Mus musculus: one gene and its partners. The protein of the gene in region 2 purifies or fractionates together with the protein of the main gene of each other region. This does not show direct contact. Links are inferred from orthologs where the notes say so. Each region holds a gene or a part of one and is shown on either strand. Other genes may lie near its edges.

The links.
Region 1: the proteins of Sec13 (region 2) and Klhl12 purify together in Homo sapiens (affinity purification with mass spectrometry; 3 studies listed by BioGRID and IntAct, with this or other methods). This does not show direct contact. The link is inferred for Mus musculus from reciprocal best matches to the Homo sapiens genes SEC13 and KLHL12.
Region 3: the proteins of Sec13 (region 2) and Nup98 purify together in Homo sapiens (affinity purification with mass spectrometry; 4 studies listed by BioGRID and IntAct, counting the BioPlex papers as one, with this or other methods). This does not show direct contact. The link is inferred for Mus musculus from reciprocal best matches to the Homo sapiens genes SEC13 and NUP98.
Region 4: the proteins of Sec13 (region 2) and Nup85 purify together in Homo sapiens (affinity purification with mass spectrometry; 5 studies listed by BioGRID and IntAct, counting the BioPlex papers as one, with this or other methods). This does not show direct contact. The link is inferred for Mus musculus from reciprocal best matches to the Homo sapiens genes SEC13 and NUP85.
Region 5: the proteins of Sec13 (region 2) and Nup160 purify together in Homo sapiens (affinity purification with mass spectrometry; 4 studies listed by BioGRID and IntAct, counting the BioPlex papers as one, with this or other methods). This does not show direct contact. The link is inferred for Mus musculus from reciprocal best matches to the Homo sapiens genes SEC13 and NUP160.
Region 6: the proteins of Sec13 (region 2) and Sec23a fractionate together in Homo sapiens (co-fractionation; 3 studies listed by BioGRID and IntAct, with this or other methods). This does not show direct contact. The link is inferred for Mus musculus from reciprocal best matches to the Homo sapiens genes SEC13 and SEC23A.
Region 7: the proteins of Sec13 (region 2) and Nup43 purify together in Homo sapiens (affinity purification with mass spectrometry; 3 studies listed by BioGRID and IntAct, counting the BioPlex papers as one, with this or other methods). This does not show direct contact. The link is inferred for Mus musculus from reciprocal best matches to the Homo sapiens genes SEC13 and NUP43.

What each region holds. Positions count from the first base shown.
Region 1 is NC_000067.6:134,458,531-134,462,030, reverse strand, and holds part of Klhl12 (kelch-like protein 12), read right to left. Parts: coding exon 3,365-3,500; intron 1,184-3,364; exon of another isoform or gene 1,147-1,183; coding exon of another isoform or gene 1,006-1,146; intron 1-1,005. UniProt on the Homo sapiens protein: Substrate-specific adapter of a BCR (BTB-CUL3-RBX1) E3 ubiquitin ligase complex that acts as a negative regulator of Wnt signaling pathway and ER-Golgi transport.
Region 2 is NC_000072.6:113,734,182-113,737,681, forward strand, and holds part of Sec13 (protein SEC13 homolog), read right to left. Parts: intron 2,307-3,500; coding exon 2,191-2,306; intron 1,028-2,190; coding exon 876-1,027; intron 499-875; coding exon 365-498; intron 1-364. UniProt on the Homo sapiens protein: Functions as a component of the nuclear pore complex (NPC) and the COPII coat. At the endoplasmic reticulum, SEC13 is involved in the biogenesis of COPII-coated vesicles.
Region 3 is NC_000073.6:102,151,167-102,154,666, forward strand, and holds part of Nup98 (nuclear pore complex protein Nup98-Nup96 isoform 1 precursor), read right to left. Parts: intron 2,928-3,500; coding exon 2,629-2,927; intron 2,084-2,628; coding exon 1,970-2,083; intron 1,291-1,969; coding exon 1,152-1,290; intron 1-1,151. UniProt on the Homo sapiens protein: Plays a role in the nuclear pore complex (NPC) assembly and/or maintenance. NUP98 and NUP96 are involved in the bidirectional transport across the NPC. May anchor NUP153 and TPR to the NPC.
Region 4 is NC_000077.6:115,567,444-115,570,943, reverse strand, and holds part of Nup85 (nuclear pore complex protein Nup85), read right to left. Parts: intron 2,582-3,500; coding exon 2,511-2,581; intron 2,266-2,510; coding exon 2,222-2,265; intron 1,243-2,221; coding exon 1,173-1,242; intron 946-1,172; coding exon 824-945; intron 1-823. UniProt on the Homo sapiens protein: Essential component of the nuclear pore complex (NPC) that seems to be required for NPC assembly and maintenance. As part of the NPC Nup107-160 subcomplex plays a role in RNA export and in tethering NUP96/Nup98 and NUP153 to the nucleus.
Region 5 is NC_000068.7:90,701,215-90,704,714, forward strand, and holds part of Nup160 (nuclear pore complex protein Nup160), read left to right. Parts: intron 1-798; coding exon 799-898; intron 899-1,166; coding exon 1,167-1,332; coding exon of another isoform or gene 1,333-1,348; intron 1,349-1,844; coding exon 1,845-1,972; intron 1,973-2,596; coding exon 2,597-2,757; intron 2,758-3,500. UniProt on the Homo sapiens protein: Functions as a component of the nuclear pore complex (NPC). Involved in poly(A)+ RNA transport.
Region 6 is NC_000078.6:58,967,018-58,970,517, forward strand, and holds part of Sec23a (protein transport protein Sec23A), read right to left. Parts: intron 1,952-3,500; coding exon 1,796-1,951; intron 29-1,795; coding exon 1-28.
Region 7 is NC_000076.6:7,670,504-7,674,003, reverse strand, and holds part of Nup43 (nucleoporin Nup43), read right to left. Parts: intron 3,066-3,500; coding exon 2,885-3,065; intron 420-2,884; coding exon 284-419; intron 1-283. UniProt on the Homo sapiens protein: Component of the Nup107-160 subcomplex of the nuclear pore complex (NPC). The Nup107-160 subcomplex is required for the assembly of a functional NPC.

The DNA of each region.
Region 1 (3,500 bases), on a different chromosome or scaffold from region 2:
GGAGACTAGGACAAAGACAGAACTCGAGGCCAGCCTGGTCTACAAATCAAGTCCAGGACATCCAGGGCTCTGTTATACACAGAATCCTTGTTTCTGAAAACAAAACAAAACAAAACAAAACAAAACAACAAAAAACAAAAGAACAAACAACAACAAATCAATCCCTAGCCAGGCGTTGGTGGCACACACCTTTAATTCTAGTATTCTGGAGGCAGAGGCAGGTGGATCTTCGAGGTCAAGGCTAGCCTGGTCTACAGAAAGAGTTCTAGGACAGGCATAGAAAAGCCCTGTTTAAAAAGAAGAGGGGAAAAAAAGGTAGGAAGGAAGGAAAAAAGAAAAAGAAAAGAAAAGAAGGAGAAAGAGAAAGAAAGAAGAATCATGTATGAAAAGAAATGAGGTTTTTTTTTTTCTCCCCCCAAGATTCCAGAAATCTCTCAATGTTAAAAAAACAGTGCAGGCAGATGTTCTCAAGACAACAGCAAGCAGGACACGTCCTGTTTCAGCAGGACTGTAGTAGCAGTTGGCAGGCTTAGGCCATTTCATGCTCAGCACTTCTGGTTAACTCTCCCTACCCAGCTAAATGCTAATGTTTTGGGGGCAGACATCCTGAAGAACACTACAAGCTAGAGATCTGTGCTGTTGTATTATTCAAGATGGTTTTTAAATTAGTCAGGATTTGCCGCAACGGCCTGACTGCTTTCTATTTCTCCTACCAGCCTTATGGCTGAAATGGCAGTTAAGAATCATTTTTTACAGCCACATGCTGTAGAGGCAAAGCCTACCTCTATGTAGTATTTTCAAGTGATGTGACATTGAAAGGCATTTGTTGAGACCCTTCATCTGAAAAATGAAATGGCAATATTTACCCCCAGAGTAAATGACAAACATGGCAGTTTAACTGGGCCCATAGATATAGCTGTTATCCTATTTCCCTTTTTATCTGGGTCTAACAACTACTTCATTACACTGACAGGTACTTTTTTTTTTTTTTTTGTAAATTTTTACCTTATGTACATTGGTGTTTTGTCTGCAGGTATCTCTGTATGAGGGTGTCAAATCTCCTGGAACTGGAGTTAGACCCATAATGTGGGTACTGGGAATTGAACCTGGATCCTCTGGATGAACAGCCAGTGTGCTCTTGACCATTGAGCCATCTCTCTAGCCCCATGGTGATGGGTATTAACTAAAGAAAATACTGGTGGTTAGAGATACTTTTTATAGAGTCTTATCATAACAAGGCAGGATGACACACACCCATAATCTCCATACTTGATGAGGCTGAGGCAGAAAGATGGAGTATTCAGGGCCAATTTAGGCATTAAGATTCTTCCTCAAAAACAGACGCACATGCCAGGCAGTGGTGGTGCATGCCTTTAATGCCAGCACTTGGGAGGCAGTGGCAGGCCTGGTCTACAGAGTGAGTTCCAGGACAGCCAGGGCTACACAGAGAAACCCTGTCTTGAAAAACCAAAACAAACAAACAAACAAGCAAAACCAGATGTACACACACCCATACCAGAGGCTTGGAGAGACTGTTAAAGCACTTGCAGCACCCATGTCAGGTGGCTCACAACCATTGGAACTCTAGCTCTGGGGCATCTGATGCCCTTTAGACTCCAAGGGTACCCACTTGTACATGATGCCCATAAAATTCATGGAGGCACACATAAACAAAAAGCCTGCATAATGAAATAATTCAGATATATGTCTAAGTTTAAACATGTGATAATTATTCATATACCTCAACTTAAAACACTTATAAAGACTAGTTTAAATATTCTTATATTATTTACTTTTTAGAAACTTTTAAGCCAGAAGATAGTGGTGTATCCCTTTAATCCTAGCACCTGGGAGGCAGAGGCAGGTGGACCTGTGGGTTCAAAGCTGGTCTGCTCTATAGGGCAAGTTTCAGGACAGCTAAGACTACATAAACAAACTCTGTCTTGAGAAGAAAAAAAAAAAAGAAAAAAAGACAGACAAACACATACATACACTCAAGTACATTTGTGTACACACACACACACACACACACACACACACACAAACATACACATACACACCCCACGTGGGTCTCAGGGACTGGAATCTGGTCCATGAGGTTGGATGGAAAGTATCTTTACTTATTGAACCAGCTTGCTGTCTGTCTGTCTGTCTCTCTCTCTCAAAGTAATTTTGGTTTTGGAGAAAACATCTCATATAGTTCCAAATAGCCTAAAACTCTGTATGTAGGCAAGGATGGTCTTAATCTCGTGGCTTTGTGTATATTAGGTAATCATCAGACCAACTGAGCTACATCCCCTACCCTTGTTTGGGTGAGACAGGGTCTCACCAGGAGGCCAGCCTTGAACTCCACTTCCCCACTGCTGGCATTACAGCCACGTGCTATCTCACCAGGCTAAGTTAACACCACACAGCCATTCATTAAATCCCCTCTCCCCTCATTGGAAGTCACCCTGAAATCTGTATCAGTAGCATACTCATTTTCTATAATTATTGATGATTTTTTTAAAGATATATTTATTTATTTTATGTATATAAGTACCCTGTTGCTTCAGACACACCAGAAGAGGGCATCAGATCCCATTACAGATGGTTGTGAGCCATCATGTGGTTGCTGGGAATTGAACTCAGGACCTTTGAAAGAGCAGTCAGTGCTCTTAACCTCTGAGCCATTTCTCCAGTCCCCAAAATTCTTTTTTGTTTTTGTTTCTGTTTTCGAGACAGGGTTTCTCTGTGTAGCCCTGGCTGTCCTGGAACTCACTTTGTAGACGAGGCTGGCCTCGAACTCAGAAATCCGACTGCCTCTGCCTCCCAAGTGCTGGGATTAAAGGCGTGCGCCACCACCGCCCAGCAATTATTGATGATCTGAAGGAGAAAGCCATCACATGTCTTATTCAGAGCTTACCTATTTGACTACCACATTATACAGATTCACTGGTTTACCAGACTTTTTTTTTTTTTCCTTCCTTGTTGAGTGGTTTCAGGTGGGTGTTATTCTGTAGCCCAGACTGGCCTCAAATTTATGGTGATCTTCCCACTGTCAGGACTGTTAAATGTGAGCAACTATATCTGGTTTCAAATTTCTATTTTATTTACTAAGCATTTGTTTGGAAGTTCTAACAGGGAAGACACGCCCCCCCCCAATACTTTTGACTTTTGACTGTGTGTTGGAAAAAAATCCCCATTGATTGAGCAGCCCCTTCAGAAGACACACGTGACAGTGACAGCAAGATTAACCATGGTGACCAATTGGCTGACAAATGCCATAGCTGAATCACCAACACATGCTATTTTGTCCCTTGAAATAAGAGGACTGCAAGGTTACAATGCGAATTTCACTTAGGTAGCAGTGACTTGCATTTACCTCACTAGTGAACATGGCACAGAAATAATCACTGCAGGCGGCCAGCACAATCCGATGCGCAGGGAAGTCTTTCTGCTCCACTCTCAAGGTCACATCACAGAGGGTGTTGCTCTTCCTGAGGGAGTTCATGGAGTTG
Region 2 (3,500 bases):
ACACCATGCTTTCTGGCCTATTTCATACCTAAGGTCCAAGGACCAGAAAGCACAGGAACTAGATATCTAGGCCAGTCTTTAAAACTCACTGAGTTCTGGGGACCCACAGTGCTTGTCAGCCTCAGGCTTCTGTAGCCAGGTGGCTGGTCAAAGTACCCCTATGCTTCTGTCCCCAACCTGGGTCTTAGTTGTAGAAACCAGTGCCACCTCTGCTTTGGGCTGAGAAGGTGGCTCCAGCAAGTCTAACCTATAACCCTTCCTAGCCACTGCTCAGCCAGGACACCCACTCTCTTCCTAGGAGCACAGAAGACTTTAATACAGCAATTGCTCTCTCTTTCATGCAAAAGGCAGGGGCTGGACTCACCGTGTGAGCATTGTTAATCTTCTTCACTTCCCACTGGCCTTCCCCTGTATAGGTCAGCAGTGAGATGGCCCCATCTGAACTCCCACAGGCCAGGATCAGGCCATAGTCATGAGGGGCCCAGCAAACAGAGTTCACTGTGGAAAGGAGGTACAGTGAGAAGGTTTTCATCCTATATCTACTACTGCGCTAAAAACCACAGGAACTGCCAGCAGTCTTTTGACATTTGGCCAAATGAGGACAAATGAACACCTAACAGCATTTGTCTGTCTTCACAAAGCAAGGAGGAGAGGCACCCTGAGATTCAAGGCTGAGCTTGGAAAGCCTCACTGTTCTTACTAAACTTCTTTCTCTGGTCAGTCTTGGGGACTGACCTCTGCTGTGGATAGACCAGTGAAAAAGCCAACAAATGTCCAAAGGATGGACAACAACAAGAGAAGGGTCTGGGATGCGAGCAGAGCCGGGGCTTTTCCCACCCATAAGACCTTCCTACGCACTCGCCAACTCTACATACCTGAGGAGTCGTGTCCCGAGTGCTCATGGGTCTTCTCCCAAGTGCCGTTTTCCTCCTTCCAGATGATGACTTTCCGGTCATAGGAACAGGAGGCCAGGATATTGCCATACATGGGGTGGGCCCAGGCCACTTGCCATACTGGCCCCTCATGTCTGTAAGGGAGGGAGTCAGGCTGCTCAGAGGGTCAGGGGACACACAGTACCAGTTCCCTCTGGAGAGACAACACAATGTTCCCATTGTCTTTGTTTTTTGAGGCAGGGCCTTCTACTGTAGCTCAGGTTAGCCTTGAGCTTGTGATCCTGCCAGATGTGCCACCACACTTAAATTTGGTTTGTGTTCTACTAGGTTTAGAATGAGAACTCTGCATCTTGAAATGACTTACTTAACATTATATTGCCTCTTTGCCAAAACCAAGTAACAAGTAGCAGGTCTAAAAACATGTAATTTCAAAGTCATAATGAGCACAAACGATATTCTCAGACAACTACACGTAAGATGAAAACTTTTCTTGGTGACATAGTGACAGGTCTACAGTCATTACTGGAGTTTCCAGCCTACATCCAAAATAGAAGGAAATGGTAAACTCAGAGTCATGTAAATAAATGTGATTGTCTTCTCTGTCCCAGTTTGCCAAACTTGTCACCCTATTCACGGAATTTTAGCAGACCCAGGTACCCAGGTAAGGAACCTATACTATGTCAAAACCTCTGAAGGAAAACAGAGATATGACCTTGAAAATGAGCCAAGACCCCAAGGGCTAGAGGGTGAGAGAAAAGCAAACATCTTTTAAATAATCCCTGGCCATCTATCTGCTATGGGCAAACAGAACAAGAGGATGTGTAAAGTTTGTCTTATGGGCCCAGCGAGATGGCCTAGTGGGTAAAGCCCTTGCTGTGTCTGCCAGAGTTCAATCCCTGGAAGCCATGGAAAGGTAGAAGGAGAAAACTCCACAAAATTGTCTTTAGGTGAAATGCATAAATGTGTGCAGGTTGGTACTGTAGTGCTCATTGCTTCTGAACATGGCAGTGTTGCCCACATCAAAGATACTGAGGATGGGCCCTGGATAGAGTCAGGATTATCCCATCTGAGGTTAAGCAGGGGAGGGCTTCAAGAGACAAAGTGCCTCACTTCCCAGGTCTCCTGGTGATAGAACTGGGGATCATACTTGAATGTATCTGTGGCCTTACCTGCACCTCTGCTAAGGGCTCACTGCTAAATGTACTCTGAGATTGCAGGGAATCTGTACTCTCCCCTTTCCTCCCAGGCCTGAGGATCCAGCTACCCTGTGGCCTTCTCCATGTGTGTTTACACTTACCCTCTGAGGTCTGCGATGAGGATCTGCCCTCCATTCCGCACATCGAAAATTTTGACGGACCTATCCGAGGAGCAGGTTGCTAGGCGGGTGCCGTAGTAGTCCATCTGTGCATCATGCTGCAAGGAGAGGACAGCTAGGGAAGCCTGCAGGACGCGTGGCTAACCCCCAAGCCAGGGCCTAGTGTAGACCTGAATCAGGCTTCAGGGATAGTCAGCTGTCACCTGAAGCATTCACAACCTCTCAAAGGATGTGCGGTATGGACCCTAACGTCACTTTGTCACCTCTCAACTCAAGGAAAATGATTCTTCTGGAAGGTCACCTTCCCACTGGGTCAGGCCCCGCTCTCCTGGTAAGTAGGCTTGCAAGCCCATTTAAAAACCCTTTTTGGGCTGGACTGATAGCTCAGTGGTTAAGAGCACTGACTGCTCTTCCAGAGGTCCTCAGTTCAATTCCCAGCAACCACATGGTGGCTCATAACCATCTGATACCCATCTAATGAGATCTGATACCCTCTTCTGGTGTGTCTGAAGACAGCTATAGTGTACTCATATATAATAAATAACTAAATCTTAAAAAAAAAAGATTTTTTTCCAGCAGAGTACTATCCTACTGGTTAGAAAGGCATAGTATCTAAGAAGGAAATTCTATCTCCTTAGCTTACCTGTTATACAACCTTTAGAAAATTTGCTTATTTCTTTAACCTTCAGTTTCCATATCTTAAGAAGGATCTACGGAGCACAATGGCTTCACGGGTCCTTGAAGGGTGTGATGACAAGTTTAGAGTGCACCCACATGTCTCTTAACTACTGTAATGCCTCATCTGATCCTCAGGAGGAAACCAAGGTGGGTGACTGGCAGGGATGCCTAGACTGGATCTTACTGCCTCTGGGTCCATGCCGGTTCCAGCCAAGTGGTCTCACAGCTAGACCACTCACCGCCAAACCCAGCAAGATGCACAGGTTTTCACCAGAACCCCAAAGCAAGTGCCGGTGGTCAGCTGTGGAGGCCAGGGGCCTCACAGGAAAGACAGGCCACCAGGCCTGGGCCCTGCTCAGAGGCTGCCTGCATTGTTGGGCTCCAGGAAGCAGGCTGAGTTTTTCAGTTAGAGACTTCAACCTCTGGACCTTCCCTAACAGCTCGACTCTGTGCCCTGTGTTGGCTATCAAGAAACGCCCAAGAGGCCCAAGGGCCTGGTGTGGATGACTCTCTGGGGTAGCCTCTGCCCTACGCTTTCACTGTGGCTGCCAGACTTCTAACTCTCCCTCCCTAACTCCCTTTCAATAGAGCTAAGAAATAGCCTTAGGAGAAAG
Region 3 (3,500 bases), on a different chromosome or scaffold from region 2:
TCATTTGTAAGACTGAATAATAATAATTCCTCATATATACATGCTACACTTTATCCATCTACCCATAAATGAATACTTTCTGCAGAAAAGAATTAAATGTAGGTCTGGAGAGATAGTTCAATGATTACGAGCACTGTCTGATCTTCTAGAGGTCCTGAGTTCAATTCCCAGCAACCACATGGTGGCTCACAACCATCTGTACCAGGATCCAATTGTCCTCTTCTGATGTGTCTGAAAACAGTGTACTTATACATAAAAAAAAAAAAAAGAAAAAAAAAAAAAGAAAAAAAAAGAATTAAATGCAACCATGACCAAAGATGTAAAAATGTCATTTTTAGAGATTGTTTTAGTGTCGGGTATTTTGCATATATGCATATATGTATGTACTCTATGTGTGTGCTCATGTTTATGAAAGCCACAAGACAGAATAGAATTCCCTAGAACCAGCGCTACAAACAGTTGTGAGTTGCTGGGAACCCAAACACAGGCCTCTGCCAAGAGCAGCAAGTGTTCTGAGCCAGCTCTCCAGCCTTCACCCCTATTCCCAGCCCTCAAACAAGCTGTTTACTGGAGTTCTGCAAATGTGACTTTTACCAATCACACATCTTATCCAGAGGAAGATGGATGTAGCAGTACAGGAGTGTTACTACAGCACAGGGGAGGTGAAGCAGGAATGCCGTGAATCAAAGCTAAGTTAGGGTTCAACACCACACCGGTTACAGTGCGAGCTATCTAACCTCCCACCATATCCAAGCAATATATGGCAACAGAATGCCTACAAAACAAAATAAACGTTAGTCTCACATTTAAATAGTTGAGTGTACCAGTGGCAGAACAAGAAGAAATACAACAAAACAAGAAAACTTTCTGGAGTTGGTGCTCACTGGCAGAGTGATTTTCAACATGTATGAGGCCCTAGTTTAATCTCTACCTCTGAAAAGCAAAATTAAGCAAAGGCAAACTTCCATTGTTGAAAGTTCCTGAAAATAGCATGTGAACACATTACCATTAGGGAAAGGTATGAGTCCTAAAGTCACAGAGCATCATTACCATTTATACTTTCAAATAAGAGTAGACAAACAATAAAAGTTTATAGAAAGACTGTGTTTTCAGGAAAAAACTCCAATTTCTGTATATAAATAAATTCATACCTATTTAGCCCTTCACCCACAGGTGGCTTTTGGTTATCATCTACATAGACAATAACTTCTTTCCTTCGGATATGCACAATATCATCCAAATTTAGATTTGTCAAATTCACATCTCCTTCAAAATAGATTGAGCCATATCCTAAAATTCAGAGCAAATGGTTAAAAAAGATCCTTCATAAAGGAGCAAAAATCTCCTTTAATCTGTAGTAATTAGGAAGGGAGAACATGCAACCTTTAATATCAGTATTTTAAACCTTCCAGAAATTCTTGGAGTAGCTTTCTGTCTCCTAAAGATGGCAAGAGTGGGGACCGAGGAATGGCATTATATAGTTATCAGATATAACATCTCCACTTTACATTTCTGGTGTCTTCAAATCTTCCCCAGTATCTCCAGTGCCAGTGTATGAACAACTTGGTTCCTCGTCTGCTACATAAACTAAAATACTTGAGCCCATTCAAAAGACTACTTCACAGAGTAAGTTTATTTAAAGAAAATTACCCATAACAATTTAATATAAAATTGATCACTGTATTAAAAACTTAGTATATCTTCAAGTTTAATTATGGAGAATTATGGGAAACATAATTACCAGACTCAAACAGGTATGTCTAAGCCCCCAAATTCTACATGGTTTTAGTCTTCCTTGCTTTATTACTTGTCAATGTTTCTATTAGTCTAAGTCAGGAAAGAACCAAATACAGGGGGGAAAAAAAAACCCAACAAGAACAAAAAACCAGACTCTAAAACCTAGAGTTGCCCTTAATAACATAGGCAAGGTCCAATCTCTAAGTTATATGACTTTTAAACTCACACTTACCTTTACGACCAATGGTGAAGTCAGAAACAATGCATTCTCCCTTCTCGTTGGTAATTTTAGCAAGGTCATCCATAGATGGGATAGTGTAATAACCAACTTTTGTGAGAACAATGCCTATGACCAAAAGTCAAAAAATATTGTGATTATACTTGAGTAGAACAGTTACCAGTTCTATTAATTTTATTTTCATATAACAATATGAGACAGGGTCTTATGTGTCAGTATGGCGTTGTAGTTAAAACAAAGCCAAGACCCTGAGCTTCTGAGCAACTTGCCTCCACATACTCAACGCAGAACTTGGGGTGCAGAGGCAGAAGGGTCACTGCAAGTTTGAAGAAAGCATGAGCAAGACCCAGACTCTATTCCCACAAACAGAAAAACAAAAACATTTTAAATGTAATATAGTCTACTAAACTTTGCTTAACCTAAGATTTGTAGATTTTATTTACCATAGAGTCCTCTTCTTAAAAGGAATACCCATAACATGGTAAGTCTCCATAGAATACACTATGGTAAGGTCTTACTAATAAACAATCCACTTGAATTTACAAAGTTAGGAAGATAGGACAGTCTCTTAGGCTATAAGAAGTGGACTCTTTTGACCACATTGCTGTAATTAAAAACTGTTTCAAAGATATAAAAAAGTATGTGAATCTGACCTGCTGGGTGTATGTGGTAAGCATTATTTTCTATCTCTTCTCGGTCATCTTGCAATGACTCATCATGGAATGACGTCTCTTCACTGCTTCCTTCCAATCCATTGCGCAAAGCAGCACGCATGTTCAAGGCAACAATGGTATCTTCCACATTGCTGCTACTGTTATTTTTGTTTCCAACACTCTCTGGAGTTTGTGGAATGGGTTTGGCAATAGGATTAGTGTAAAATCGTGATACAAGAGAGTCATCTTCTCCATCCTGCTGATTGTTCTCATCAACAGGTTTGCTCAGGAAGCTAAATCTGATAACGGAGAAAAAAATACCTTAGTCTTTGGCAATAGAAAAGGTGATGACAGCAGTTAATTTTTATTAAGGATCTGACATTACACCAGATGATTTAATAAATCCTTATAGCAGCTGTGTGAGATAGGATGTAATTACTACCTCTTAACCTGTAACAGGAAAACCAGATCAAAAAAAAAAATTTTGTGTAATATCACAAAGTTGTGAGTACTATCTAGAATTGAAGTTTTAAAATAGAAAAATCTAGGGCTAGAAAGATGGCTCAGTGGTTAAGAGGATGTGCTGCTTTGTATAGAGAATCCTGGATCAATTCCCAGCACAGACATGGTGGCTCCCAACAATTTGCAACCTAGTTCTAGAGGGTCTGATACCATCTCCCGGTCCCCTAAGACACCAGGCACACAAGTGTATACAAATATACATGCAACCAAAACACCCATGTACATAAAATAACAAACGAAAAACCTCAGAAAATCTAGCTCTAGGTTTCATAGCCTTGACTGCTCATTTTCAAAGGAATAAATCTGAGCAACCCCCTCTCACTCTGTGGGTGTGTTGGAGATCAAACTCA
Region 4 (3,500 bases), on a different chromosome or scaffold from region 2:
GGGTTACACAGTGAGACCTTGTCTCAAAAAGCAAACCAAAGTAGTTCCAGGACAGCCAGGGCTACACAGAGATACCCTGTCTCATGGAGAAAAAAATAATGGGGCAATGGTGGCCACACCTTTAATCTCAGCAGTTAGGAGACAGAAGCAGGTGGATCTCTGTGGGTTCCAAGCCAGTCTGGTAGGACAGACAAGCCTACACAAAGAAACCCTGAATTAAAATACATAAATAAATTCAACAAAATAAGCCAACAAAGTAACCAAAAAGATCCTTTCTCGCCTTGTGGTGCTGGAGATCGGTCTCCCAGATGCTATGTAGGCACTCACTACAATGCCACCTCAAGGTCCTTCCTCAGTGCGCCTCAGCTTTCCTAGTGCCCAGACCCTTTAACAGAGCTCACATTGTGCTAACTTCCAGCCATGGAATTATTTCATTGCTACTGTCATGAATAGTAATGTAAGCATCTGATATGCAAATCCCCTGGGAGCATGAGCCACAGGTTGTGAACTGTTGCCCCAGAGTGTTCTACCTCAGACCACTTATGCTCATGTGCACCCCATCAACCGCTTGGTCCCCTTATAACCTCTCTTCCTCAGACCTACAAACAAAATCCTCCTGAAACGACGGCAAGTTTACCAAGCACCGCTCCCCGTGCTAAATTAGTTTTAAACTGCTCTGGAGCAGAGAAGGAAAGATGCAAAACCTACTCCACAATCATAAACTCAGAGAGCTGAGCCAAGGCTGGAGCAGGGGTCCTCCCAGTCAGCCGACTGCAGCGCGCAGAGTGCACAGGGCGGGCGGCTGCCGTCCGCGCACACTCACCAGGTCCCAGAAGTTTTCATGCTTGCTTGGGTTGTCACCGCCCAGGACATCTGCCGACAAACTGTCCACCTCGCACACGTGCAGTCGGACCCAGTCAAGAAGGTGAAGGAGGAGAGGGCCAGCTGAGGAGAGACTCATGTCACACAAAAGAGCTCAGCTTCATCTGCGGCATCTCCACTCCACCCAAGTACAGACACGGACGTGGATTTATAGCAGAGGACCTGACTGGACAGAGGGCTATTTATTCCCTGCAACTAGGAAGGACAGAGGACGACAGGAACCCTGTGATGCTAAGACAGAGTTAGCCTGGGCTAAGTGAGGCTACATGAAACAAACAAATTGGGGTTACCTGGTGCTACTTCAATAAAGAGAATCTCACACAGGTTCCAAATGAGCTCCATGGCTGACAAAATGGAGACCTAGGGAAGAAACGGAGACTAGTTTTAACTGAAACTATTACTGAAACTCGAATGCAAAGCAACAGACAGCAAGAGAGATGGCTTCACAGTCAATAGACTCTGCTGTGCACACATCAGGAGCAGAGTTTGGATCATAGCACACAGATAACAAGCTGGAGACCTGAGCACATCTGAGGCCTCAGCTACAAAGGGAACAGAAAGGAGGGTCACTGCAGCTTGCTGGTGTCCAGCATAGCCAAAATAACACAACTCCCAGGATCAAGAAGAAAGAGAATGAGCAGAGAGAGTGGACATTCAACATCTTCTTCTGTCCTCCACATGCATGCACAGGTACGCTTGTACATACATACACACAATAAAAACTGTTTTAAAAAGGTGACATGTCAGCCGAGGGCATAGCTCAGCAACAGTGTGCATACTTAGCACACCTACAACACTGGAACCAAGACCAGGCACTGCAACAACCGAAAAAGCAAAGCCCAACCTAAGATGCTTTAGGAAGATGAACGTCCCCCACCCCACCCCACCCCCCTCCATCACCCCTTGTTCCAGGGGGAGAGCATACTGTGCCCATCAGAGAAAGCCTATTTTCCCTGTTCATGAGTTAGAAAAGCTCTGGGGTCTCACTGAGGAAAGAGTCCTAGATGTCGCCTTCTAGTCCTGCTGAGTTATAACCACATGCTGCTTGACAACAATTCTGAGTTCATGAGACCAAGCAGTAGTCCTAGAAGCTCGGTTCTCCATCTCAAGTGACAACTCACAAACACCATGTGTTAGGACTCATCTTTTCCACAAGCAATGAAAACCCTGAGTTCCCATGGGCTAAAACCTTGACCAACACTTTCAAAGCCATACTTGCCATCCCAAAGAGCTGCTGATCTACCTGAAAAGGAGAGCCCTCCTGCAACAGGGACCACAAAGCCACCACCCTACGCACTAACACGATGTTGCCAATACAATGAAAGCAGCTACACCTTACCTGGCTGCTGAACTGCCGGCCACTGGCTGGATCTTTAGCAGCAACTAGCAGAATACAAAACACCTTAAGTCAATCAACCTGCACTGAATGTAGCTCATCTCCTAAGCCCTCAGAAGCCCCATACGGTTTTTGCCTTGGTTTCTTTTACCACCCACCCATTTTCATGTGAAACGCTTATGGATCACACATTAAAACAAGGACCTATTATGAACTGCACAGCAGCCTCCTTAAAGGCCTCTGGAGAAAACAGCACCAGATAACGTACTTCAAACACACACAGGGTCCTTACTTGCAACCTGATGCATTTCTTCCATACAGGCCCGTATGACTGAACGGTAATTTTTACTCACTCGAACCAATCTACAAAAAAAATGAAATGACATACAAGATGACATGGAACCGTATCTTGATGCTAGAAAGAGAGAAATCAAAAGACAGGAGACGGGCTGCAACATCAATTCCAGGAGCTCTGAGTGCTCTGGCCTCCAGTACATATAAACTCATGTGGTCACACCATACCACACAACAAACAAACAGCTTTGTCACAGTGGTTTTAAAGTGCGTACTACTGTTGGAAAGGACCAGAGTTCAGTACCCAGCACCCTTATCAGATGGCTCACAACTGGCTGCAATTCTGGTTCTAAGAAACCCAATGTCATCTTCTGATTCCCACAGGTACCTGCACCAATATGCACCTACACATACATGGTTAAAATAAGTCTGGACTGCAAAGACGGCTCAGGTTAAAAGCACTACTGTTGTAATCAAGCCTGTGGCGTATTTTCTCAGTTGATAACTGATATGGGAGGTGCCATCCGAAGCTGGCGGTCCTGGCTGCTGTAAGAAAGCAGACCGAGGGGCTGCAGAGATGGCTCAGTGGTTAAGAGCTCTGACTGTTTTTCCAGAGGTCCTGAGTTCAATTCCCAGCATCCACGTGGTGGCTCAAAACCATCTGTAATGGGATCTGATGCACTCTTCTGGTGTGTCTGAAGAAATAAATCTTTTTAAAAAAAAAACAAGAAAGAAAGAAAGCAGACTGAGCAAGCCACGACAGTATGGCAGTGTGCAGGGCTCCTCCACGGCTTCTGCATCAATTTCTGCTAAAATTCAGTGCTCGATGCTCCAAGCACTGAATTACCACAAGCCTGGTAATCGTGTCTGTAACCCTGAGCTTGAGAAGTAGAGGCAAGAGGACCAGAAACTCAAGGATACACACGTATTTGAGCACATACATAGCCTGGGCTACACAAGTCAGCAGAGTGCATGCCAGGTGTATGAA
Region 5 (3,500 bases), on a different chromosome or scaffold from region 2:
ACCTTAAGACTACATCTTTTTTTTTTTTTTTTTTTTAAGATTTATTTATTTATTTTATGTATGTGAGTACATTGTTGCTGTCTTTGGACACACTAGAAGAGGGCATCGGATCTCATTACAGTTGGTCGTGAGCCACCATGTGGTTGCCGGGAAGTGAACTCAGGACCTTTGGAAGATCAGCCAGTGTTCTTAACCACTGAGCCATCGCTCCAACCCCCATCTTTTTTATATTGTCTTTTGATTTAAATTTGTTGTTTCCTCACCATTCAGTGTCTAAGTACATTCTGTAGATTTTAAGTTCAGTCTGTAAAGTCTTTGCCGTACAAGCAGAAAGACCCTAGCACCCATGAGGAAATGCCAGCTATAGTTGTGCATGCTGTGGTCGCAGTGATGAGGAGACAGAGACGGCTTGCTAGTCAGCCTACCCTAATTCGTGGTTTCCAGGCCAGTGAGAAACACTGCATTCCTGAGAATGACAAGCAAGATTATCCTGTAGGCATACACACATACACATCACCACTCAGATGAACACAGACACGGGTAAAAAATGGAAGGCTTAGCTCACAATATTGTTCTTTCTTTCTGTGTCTCTGCTGAGAGTCAAACCTAAGGCCTGCATGTATTAGGTAAGCCCTTTACCACTGAACTACATCCCCTAACCCCTTTCAAGTGTTAAAAATGACATGGAAAATTATGTGTACATATTCTACATAGCACAATTTGTTGTGATACATTATGGATTATGAGTTTCTTTTTGAATTATTTAAAAGAAAATAACTGAAAGGTTTGTACTTGCAGGGGTATCTGTCTTTCCTGGTGCCATCTTCCTTAGTAGATCATTTATATCTCCTGCCCGATGAGCACCTTTTGACAGAGGATGAGACGACCATATCAGATGGTAATAATTTTTCTATCTAATTGACCCCCTTCCTATATGAACCTTATATTTTATTTCAGTTGATTGATAAAATTACCACTGTGACCTGTCTTGATGAGTTTACCTTAGTCACTGAAGTTTTTTTTTTTTTTTTTTTAAGCTGGAAAGTCTTAAGTACATATGCTATAGAAAAGGGATCCTTTCTATCTAATTACAGATGCTTCTTTTAATGTATTAATCAATAGACTTTCACGGTTTCAGCCATCGATGTTAACATTCTCTCTCATAGATGCAGATGTGGCACGGGACGTCTTATGTCTTATAAAATGCCTCCGGATGATTGGAGAGTCTGTTACCATGGACATGGCAGTTTTGATGGAAACCAGTTGTTACAACTTGCAATCTCCAGAGAAGGCTGCGGAACACATTTTGGAAGATTTGATCACTATTGATGTGTAAGGAGAATTTAGGGTAAAGTACATTTCCTACTGGAATTTGGCAGTGTTGTTATCACAGATTTTAATATATGGTCAAGTATATAAAAAGTCATGGTTTAATGTTAAAGTAATTTTCCTTGATTCTAAATAGGGTTGGGTGTGTGTGTGTGTGTGTGTGTGTGTGTGTATGCTCAGTCCTGTGGAAGAGTCTGACCTTGTACATTCTAGGCAAGTGTTCTACTCTGAAGCCCCTGTTTCAGATGTTACAGAGGGCAAATAAAAACAAATTCATTAAGTATAATACTTCTGTAATCCCTTAAATAAGCATTATGTTTAAAAAAAAAAAAAACACAAGTATTTTCCTAGAATTCATTTTGTGGGTCATTCCTAAAAAGTTGAGAGTGATTTAATGTGGACTCTGAGTGTCTTGTGCCAGAATGATTATCTCCACTACTTTACTGTGAGCAGCACACATAGAGCCTGTCTTAAATGTTGTCAGTAGTAACAGGAATTTTCTAATTGTCATGTAGAGAAAATGTGATGGAAGACATTTGTAGTAAACTGCAAGAGATCAGAAACCCCGTCCATGCCATTGGACTTCTTATACGGGAAATGGATTATGAAACAGAAGTGGAAATGGAAAAGGGGTTCGATCCAGGTAACCAAGGAAACAACAAGTGTGCTTACAGAACTCAGTGATGTGGGCTCGGAGGCTAAGAGGATGGACTGTTCTTCCAGAGGGGCTGAGTCCACTTCCCAACACCCACATCAGGTGACGCACAGCCAGCCCCAGAGGAGTCTGACATCCCTGGTCTGTGCCACCTGCACTCATGTGCACATACCCACATACAGACACACACACATATAGTTAGAACTAACAAAGCCAGGCATAGTGGCCACGCCTTTAATCCCAGCACTCAGACAGAGGGGGGCAGATCTCTGAGTTCCAGACCAGCCTGGTCTGCAGCATAAATTCCAGGCCAGCCAGGACTACACCTAGAAGATCCCTGTCTTTAAAAAAAAAAAAAAAAAAAACAGAATTAAATGATACATTTAATTCCAGTTTTCCTTCTAAATTTATTACATTTATTTATTTTATTTTATGTACATATATGCACACATGCTATGGTACATAGACAAAGCTCAGAGGACAACATGTAGGGGTCAGCTTTTCCCTACCACATGGGTCCTGCGTTAATTCAGTTTATCAGGGTTGGCGGCAGGTTCCTTTACCCACTGAGCCATCTTGCCAGCATTTAACTCCATTTTTTCTTATTAACAGCTCAGCCTTTGAACGTTCGAATGAATCTTTCCCAGCTCTATGGTAGTAGCACAGCAGGATATATTGTGTGTCGAGGTGTGTATAAAATTGCCAGCACTCGATTCCTGATCTGCCGAGACCTCTTGATCTTGCAGCAGCTATTAACAAGGCTAGGAGATGCAGTAAGTACTACTTGAGGGAAAACTCACTCATAAACTCTCAAACTGCATACTCTAGAGACTTGTCTGTATTCACTGCTTCCCCTGAGCTGAGCCTAAGCAGGGCTCTGCAATACCAGCTGAGAGGAGTAGTGGCAGTTCCTTTTCTCAGAAGCAGCTTACAGAAGGCAGGCTTTGTCCTGACTTGCTGTGTGGAGGTGTAGTCTACTGTGACTTGAGGAGTGAGGTGACTGGTCGGTCACATGGCGCCCACAGTCAGGAAACAGAGGGAAAGCTGCCTCTCAGCTCACATTATGTGTGCAGTTGAGATTTAAGGAAAACATTTTAAATAGAGATTATAAATGTGGGCAGTAGATAAAGAGAGATGCTTAGAAAGAAAGATAGCCAAGAGTGTGGTATGGGGTTTTCTAAGAGAGGGCTGCTAGTTATCACTTTGTTCCTTTTATTCGGTGTTCAACCCAGCCAATGGAATGGTCCCAGCTACAGTCAAGATGGACCACCCCTCTTCAGTTAAATCTTGCTTTTATTTTCTTTAGTTTAACCTTTTTATAAACCCAAAGGTATATTTCCTTGATTCTAAATCTCAAGCTGACAAAATTAATCATCATATAAATAGAAATAAACATAATAGAATGCACTTGGACTGTCTGTGAAGCAGATTACTGTTACTAATCAGAAAACAGAAAACATATAGTAGCCAGATACACAAATGTTCCTAGCCTGAAGAAAAGTCAAAGGCCTGTAAA
Region 6 (3,500 bases), on a different chromosome or scaffold from region 2:
GGTTGACTTTCGAAAGGAGGAAACGAGCCTTAAAAGTAAAAATAAATAAATAAATAAATAAATAGTGCTGATCAAACACAGACTTAGTAAGATAAGCTACAGACAATATACCATTTAAACCCAACTTAACTGAATATTTTGGTAATTTTGTTAAAATGTAATACTTACAAAGTTAAATTTTAAAATGCATCAACCGAAAAAAATGCATTAACCACAATACAAATAATATACTCTTCCAACATTACATATTTGTAGCATTCATAAGATAATAGACTACTGAATCCCAAACTCAACAGATAAAAAGTTGTATGTACAGGACTAGAGAGATGGCTCAGCAGGTAAGAGCATGACTGCTCTTCCAGAAGAGCTGGGTTGGTTGGATTCCCAGAACCCACTGGTGACACACAACTATCTGTAACTATCTTTAACCTAGGGCATCTGACTCCCTCTCCTGACTTCTTCCAGTGCTGCATGCTTGTGTTATACGGACATCAATGCAGGCAAAGCACCCAAACACATGAAATAAAAATAAGACTGCAAATGTTTATTTGTTAACACAAACCTTATTTTAAAATGAATGTGAAAATACAGTTTTATCAACTACTCTGAAACAAAAGAAGTCTAAAGCCTCGTAAAAATGATTTTAATCCACAGGTGATAACTTAGGCAACATTTATCCATCCTCTACAACAGCTAATCAATCAATAAATAAATGAGTAATTAGATAAGGAAAATAACAATACACATTAAGATATTGATGAATGAATTCATCAAAAATCTTAATTCATTCTAGAAGAACAAAAGCAATTTAATCTTTTGAAAAATGTTTTTCTATTCCCTAAGTAGCTCTAGTCCTAGAATAAGAAGCCTGGAATTCAATTAACTCCTACTTAGGATTGGCAAGCTTACAAATGTAATCTCAGTATCTAGGAGACTGAGGCAGAAAGAATGTTCAAGGTCCACCTGAGCTATGTAGCTAAGACACTATCTCTTTAAAAAAAAAAAAAAAAAACCTAGCTCCACTCAATGTGCTTCCTTGATAGTACATATAACAAGTCTTAACTCTATTATATATAAAGTAGAGATAATAATAGAATTGGTATGAGGCTCAAATGAAGGAGGCATGGAAAATGCTTGCAAAGTCTCCGTACATGATAGACAGCTCCTGTTATAAACACAGTAAAACTAATAATCACCACTGTACATAAAGTCGGTGCTGATCCATCACTGTGTCAGAGAGAGAGACACAACACTAAACAAACTATCTCCCTGCTTTACTTATGGAAGAAGTAAAATGTGTGACAACTCACACTAGGAGTACTGTTCCAGCTCTGCTCAGAAAGGTTTCCTGAGGTGTGCTAAGCAGCCCTGGCCTGACCACATGTGCACGACTCCTTTGAGCTCTAAGAACCATAAAACCCATTTGAATACCACAATGCTTTCTTGAACCTGACAGTTACTTTCTATAAAACTGAAACAAATTAGAACCCTCATAGGCTTTAATTTAAGAAAAGCACACTAAATTGTCTTGCAAGCTGCCCTTGTATCTTTGCTAACCCACAGCTGGCACACTGTCTGGATGGCATTATGGCGATTACAACAGCTATGATGGAAGCAGAATTAGAAAAAACTGGCTGTTTGGGCAACTAGGCAATAACTGTATTGCTTTGTTCCCTCCCATCTGCCTCCTTCCCTTGCCCTTGGCCTTGAGTGGCAGATAGCTCCTAATACAATCAGAACACAAGCAGGATCACCTCACGGCAGCCCTGCATACACAACACAGGGTGTTCCTCACCTGGCTGCCACCATGCTCCGTGTCAATGTATCTCGGCATTGGAAATCTGGAGTGAAGAATCTCTTGTGCATCATCTACTGGGGCTTGCAGAAGGTGCCGGAAATTCTCATATTCTGGCATGTCCTGGTATCCTGACTTCCGCCACTGTGCTATAGTCTAATTTTAAAATAATTAAAGGAATTATTTTAAATTTCTTGGTAACCTAAAATTCTTGAGTAGATTTTTCTTCGAAGGAAGTTTTATCTTCTTTCTTTGGTTTTTTTTTTTTTTTTTTTTTTTTTTTTTTTTTTTTTTGGTTTTTCGAGACAGGGTTTCTCTGTATAGCCCTGGCTGTCCTGGAACTCACTCTGTAAACCAGGCTGGCCTCGAACTCAGAAATCCACCTGCCTCTGCTTCCAAGTGCTAGGATTAAAGGAGTGTGCCACTACTGTCTGGCAACAAATAATAATTTTTTAAAAATGAGACAGTGTTTGATCATATAGCCATGGCTGGCCTGGAACCTGCTATGTAGATCAGACTGGCCTCAAACTCACAGAGATCTGCCTTCCAAGTGCTAGATCAAAGACATGCATCGCCATGCCCAGTAAATAAATCCTTGTAAAAGCACTGGATAGTTCTATTTAAAAGGATACTAGAAGGTCAGGTGTGGTGGCTCACACCAGTAATCCCAGCACAGAAGGTTGAGGTAGAAGTATTCTGAATATAAGAGAAGGCTGGGCTATCATATCAGCGTCTCAACACTCAGCCATCCTCACCAATAAGTGAAATCTAAAGTTACAAATAAGGTAACTAGAGAAATGAGGCCATCTAAGATGCACTATACTACACGAGAAGCTCGAGCACAGGAAAAATGAATGTGCCGTGCAAACTGCTCCGAGTGGTGTTTTCATCCACAGAGCGTGCTGAGGCACTGGCTGAATGAATACACGCAGGGGCAGACCTCTGCCAAACACCCACATGGAAGCCCAGAAGCTACCCACACTACTCTTCAACCACGCATCACCTCAATAACTTATACACTTCTACTCATGCTGTCAATGCACTTTTAGGTATATGAAGCACATAGAAAAATCTTCATGTTACATAGAGTAATGAAGAGCAAGTTTACCCACTGACAAAGGCTGACTCCTGCCCTTCGTCTCTGCGTCCCTGTTTATGTTTTCATAGTACTATGCTGTGTGCAAATCTATTCACCCACTAGTGTGTAAACAAAACAACAAAATCAACACAAGGATCAGTATGATTGACACCTAAAACCCTATACCATGAAGAATCACACTGTGTGTGTGTCTGTGTGTGAGTGTGTGTGTGTGTATGTATGTATGTATGTATGTATGTATGTATGTATGTATACCCGTTGAGTATTTTCTACCTAAATCCTTGAGAGTACAAGTGCTATGGATTTCAGGCACTTTCATGTATTTATATGTATATGTAATGTATATGTATAAATTCTTTTTTTTTTACTTTTTTAAAAATATTTTAATTAGGTATTTTCCTCATTTACATTTCCAATGCTATCCCAAAAGTTCCCCATACCCTCCCCCCCACTCCCCTACCCACCCACTCCCACTTTTTGGCCCTGGCATTCCCCTGTACTGGGGCATATAAAGTTTGCAAGTCCAATGGGCCTCTCTTTCCAGTGATGGCCGACTAGGCCATCTTTTGGTACATATGCAGCTAAAGACATGAGCTCTGGGGTACT
Region 7 (3,500 bases), on a different chromosome or scaffold from region 2:
ATCAGTGTTTCTGAAATTCATTAAAACGCAAAGCTGGGGGACTGGAGAGACATGGCTCAGCAGTTAGGACCCAGGTTCAATCCTAGTACCCACATGGCAATTCTATTTGCCTGTAAATCTAGTCCTAAGGCTTCAATGCCCTCTTCTGACCTCTGGGGGCACTACATTCTTGTGGTGCATAGATATACAAGCAGGCAAAACACTCATACAAATAAAAATACAGTTGACTACAATAACTAATTAAACAAGTTTTTTATCATAATACTGAGATGACAAAACTTACAGTGATAGTATCTGACAGGGTTCACTTCCTTGTTGTCTGAAATCCCATATTTTTAACTGTCCAATTGAATTTACTGTAACAATCTCAGGAGTTCGAAGGAAGGTTACGGCATGGAGTGTACTGCTGTCTGCATTATCTGCAAGTTTTAAAAATGCGTTAACAGGTTCCTTTTAATGACATTTCCAGCCAGGTGTGGCAGCACTTGCCTTCAATCGCTGTGCTCAGGAGGCAGAGGTAGGCAGGTCTCTGTGAGCATGAGACTATCCTGGTCTACAGAGTGAGTTCCAGGACACCTAGGGGTACACAGAGAAACCCTGTCTCACAAAACAAAACAAAAGTAAACCACGTCCCCCTACTGGTTGAAATATTATAAATAAATGACTAATGACTCAGCATAGTTTTTAATAAAGAAATAGTAAAATACATGTCTAAATACTCTCTTCCAGTCTCTGGTAGAAAGCTTCACTCCCAGGCCATCTGTTTTCTAAGTGCAGAGCTGATTGGCCGTTTGTTTTTTATACTGAATTCTTCCTTTTTACTTTTCTTTTCCTCCTGCCTTCAGCTTCCCTAGTGATGGAACTATAGTTATGTCTCACCCCAACAGGCACTGTGTCTGAGATAGATGTTCAAGCTCCTGTCTATCCAATCTTAGCTCTGCTAGTACTTGGCAGAAAACTTTACCCACTGACAGGCACAAAGCTTACTCTGATTCTATACTGTTGTTCAGACTCACACAGCAAAATTCTAGCCGAGCTTTTGTATCTGGCATGAATCTGCAGTGAAGGGACCTAAGCTTTGAAGTAGCCTTTTGTCAGTGGTTGTCATCTAAACTTTTATGGGGTTTGCAAAGTTTAGTCCTGAGATAGGCCAGGCAAACCAGGAAGAAACTAGGAAGTCTCCTTTAGCTAAGAACTGCTTAGGGGATGGGTCTTTCAAGACAACCCCTAGATCAAATAAGAAATTTTGGTATGCGGAAATTAACTTGCTAATGATGCCTTTTGTGTAACAATAAAAAGAGCTTGAGGGCTCAGTGCTTAAGAGCACAGACTGCTCTTCCAAAGGTCCTGAGTTCAAATCCCAGCAACCACATGGTGGCTCACAACCATCCATAATGAAATCTGACGCCCTCTTCTGGTGTGTCTGAAGACAGCTACAGTGTACTTAGATATAATAATAAATAAATCTTAAAAAAAAAAAAAAAAGAGCTTAAGGCTGGAACAGGGAGGGGGCAGAGCAGGGAGACAGAGGGAGGACCACGGTGGCAGGGGAGTCAGGTCCAGTTTGGATGGTTAGCTCAGGAGACTGTCCCAAAGCAAAAAAGGCTAGCAGACTTAGACTATACAGATGCCTGTGTCTTTATTATTCACCCCCAAGTGGGACCCCCAGGAGCCCCCAAGACAGACTCATGTCAAATCCACCCATCTTTACCTTCGTCAGCAGCTTCCTCACCTACATCCTTCCCCTTCATGGTTGCTAAAAGGGTCTCTAGGAAGCTTTGAGCCAGGACTTCACTATGTTGTTCAGGCTCACCTTGAATTTAGTATCCTCCTGCCTCATCCTCCAGACTGCTGAGATTACACAAGTATGCCCAATACCTTCCTTTTATAATGATTCTTTTCTTGAATTTCCTAAGTGTTTAGACTCGAGGCACATGATAGATACTTCCAAACTTAAACCTGTGCCACTTCTGTACATTGCTAGCAGGCCAACAGCTCTTAACAATTAAGCGAATGTTGTAACTCAGAAATTAAGCACTTAGAACAAAGAACACAAACTGATGCCTTGGTGCAGACCTGGAGATTCTGACCCAACAGGTCTAGGGTGGGGGGGCCTGGAATCTTCTCAGGCAAGTCTTAGTGAAGCATAGTAAGAGCCATCTCACTAGAACACTGGCCAAATCACGACTGGTGTCAGTCATTCCTCGTGCAAAGACGTTCAAGAGCAATCTGTTTACCACATACAGATCCCTAGCTTCTGTTGCTATGCATTCACAATACCTTTGCAATCCATCCCAATTTCCCTTTCCGGCTTCACCTGTCATCTCTCCAGTAACAAATATCTAAGGCCAGCTCACAGTAAACTTTGTCATTTGCTGTCTAGGTTTACCATCTCCATGCTATTCCCTGTCTGTCTGTCTGTCTGTCTGTCTGTCTGTCTTTCTTTTTTCTTTTTTTTTTCGAGACAGGGTTTCTCTGTGTAGCCCTGGTTGTCCTGGAACTCATTTGTAGACCAGGCTGGTCTCGAACTCAGAAATCCGCCTTCCTCTGCCTCCCAAGTGCTGGGATTAAAGGCGTGCACCACCACGCCCAGCTATTCCATGTTTTCTGTGTGTCATATATTAGTGTTATTTATGGTACAGAATCAAGAATGTACTAATTGCCACTTGTTCCCTAGTTATGTGATAATTCCTTTTAGCTAAAACCAAACACTGCCACCTACTACATCTTTCTGTTCTATTAGCAATCATTTATACCAGACTATCCGTACACTATCTTTTACAAGGATCCTGCCAAGTGTCATTTTCACACCCTTCAAGCTTTTAAGATCATGTTTACTTAGTTCAATTACTATGTAATGAATAGAAGAAATAGGACTCCTCACCTATAGTTCTGACAGCCTCCTTGTGATCAACTCTGAAGAGATTTATTCGGCCATCCTCTCCAACTGTAACAATTTCTGGGTTGTCACACACAATTCCTGTACATGGTGCACTGCTATAGGAGGGACTGCTGGGACCTGTATGGTAATGAGCTGCAGGCCACTGCTGATTGACGGACAGGGTCTAGGCATCAGAAATGAGCACTGTTAATCAGAGCAAAGTTCTAACAAAAGAGCCCTTCTCTCCAGGAATTTTTGATTTTTGAAACAGGACTTCCAAGTGTTTGGGATTATAGGTGAGCCACCATGCCTACCTAATAATAGTATTTTTCAGTTGTATTTCATGTCCTTGTAGAAGAAAGAACAAGTCTCCCCTTTCCTTTGTATTTGAGCATACTGATGTTTAGAAACTACTTCCCTTAATTTTTTTTATATTCTGAATAGACTCAGCACATTTATCTCAAACTAATGATTTTTGTTACTAAATAGCTGAATGTTGACACATTCTTTAAAGTTTTATGATTAAATTCATATGTAAGGAACTAACCTCTATATCTTTTTTACATGATTCCATTAAGAAAACTAATTAAAGCTGGTCACGGTGACATTGGGGAGCAAA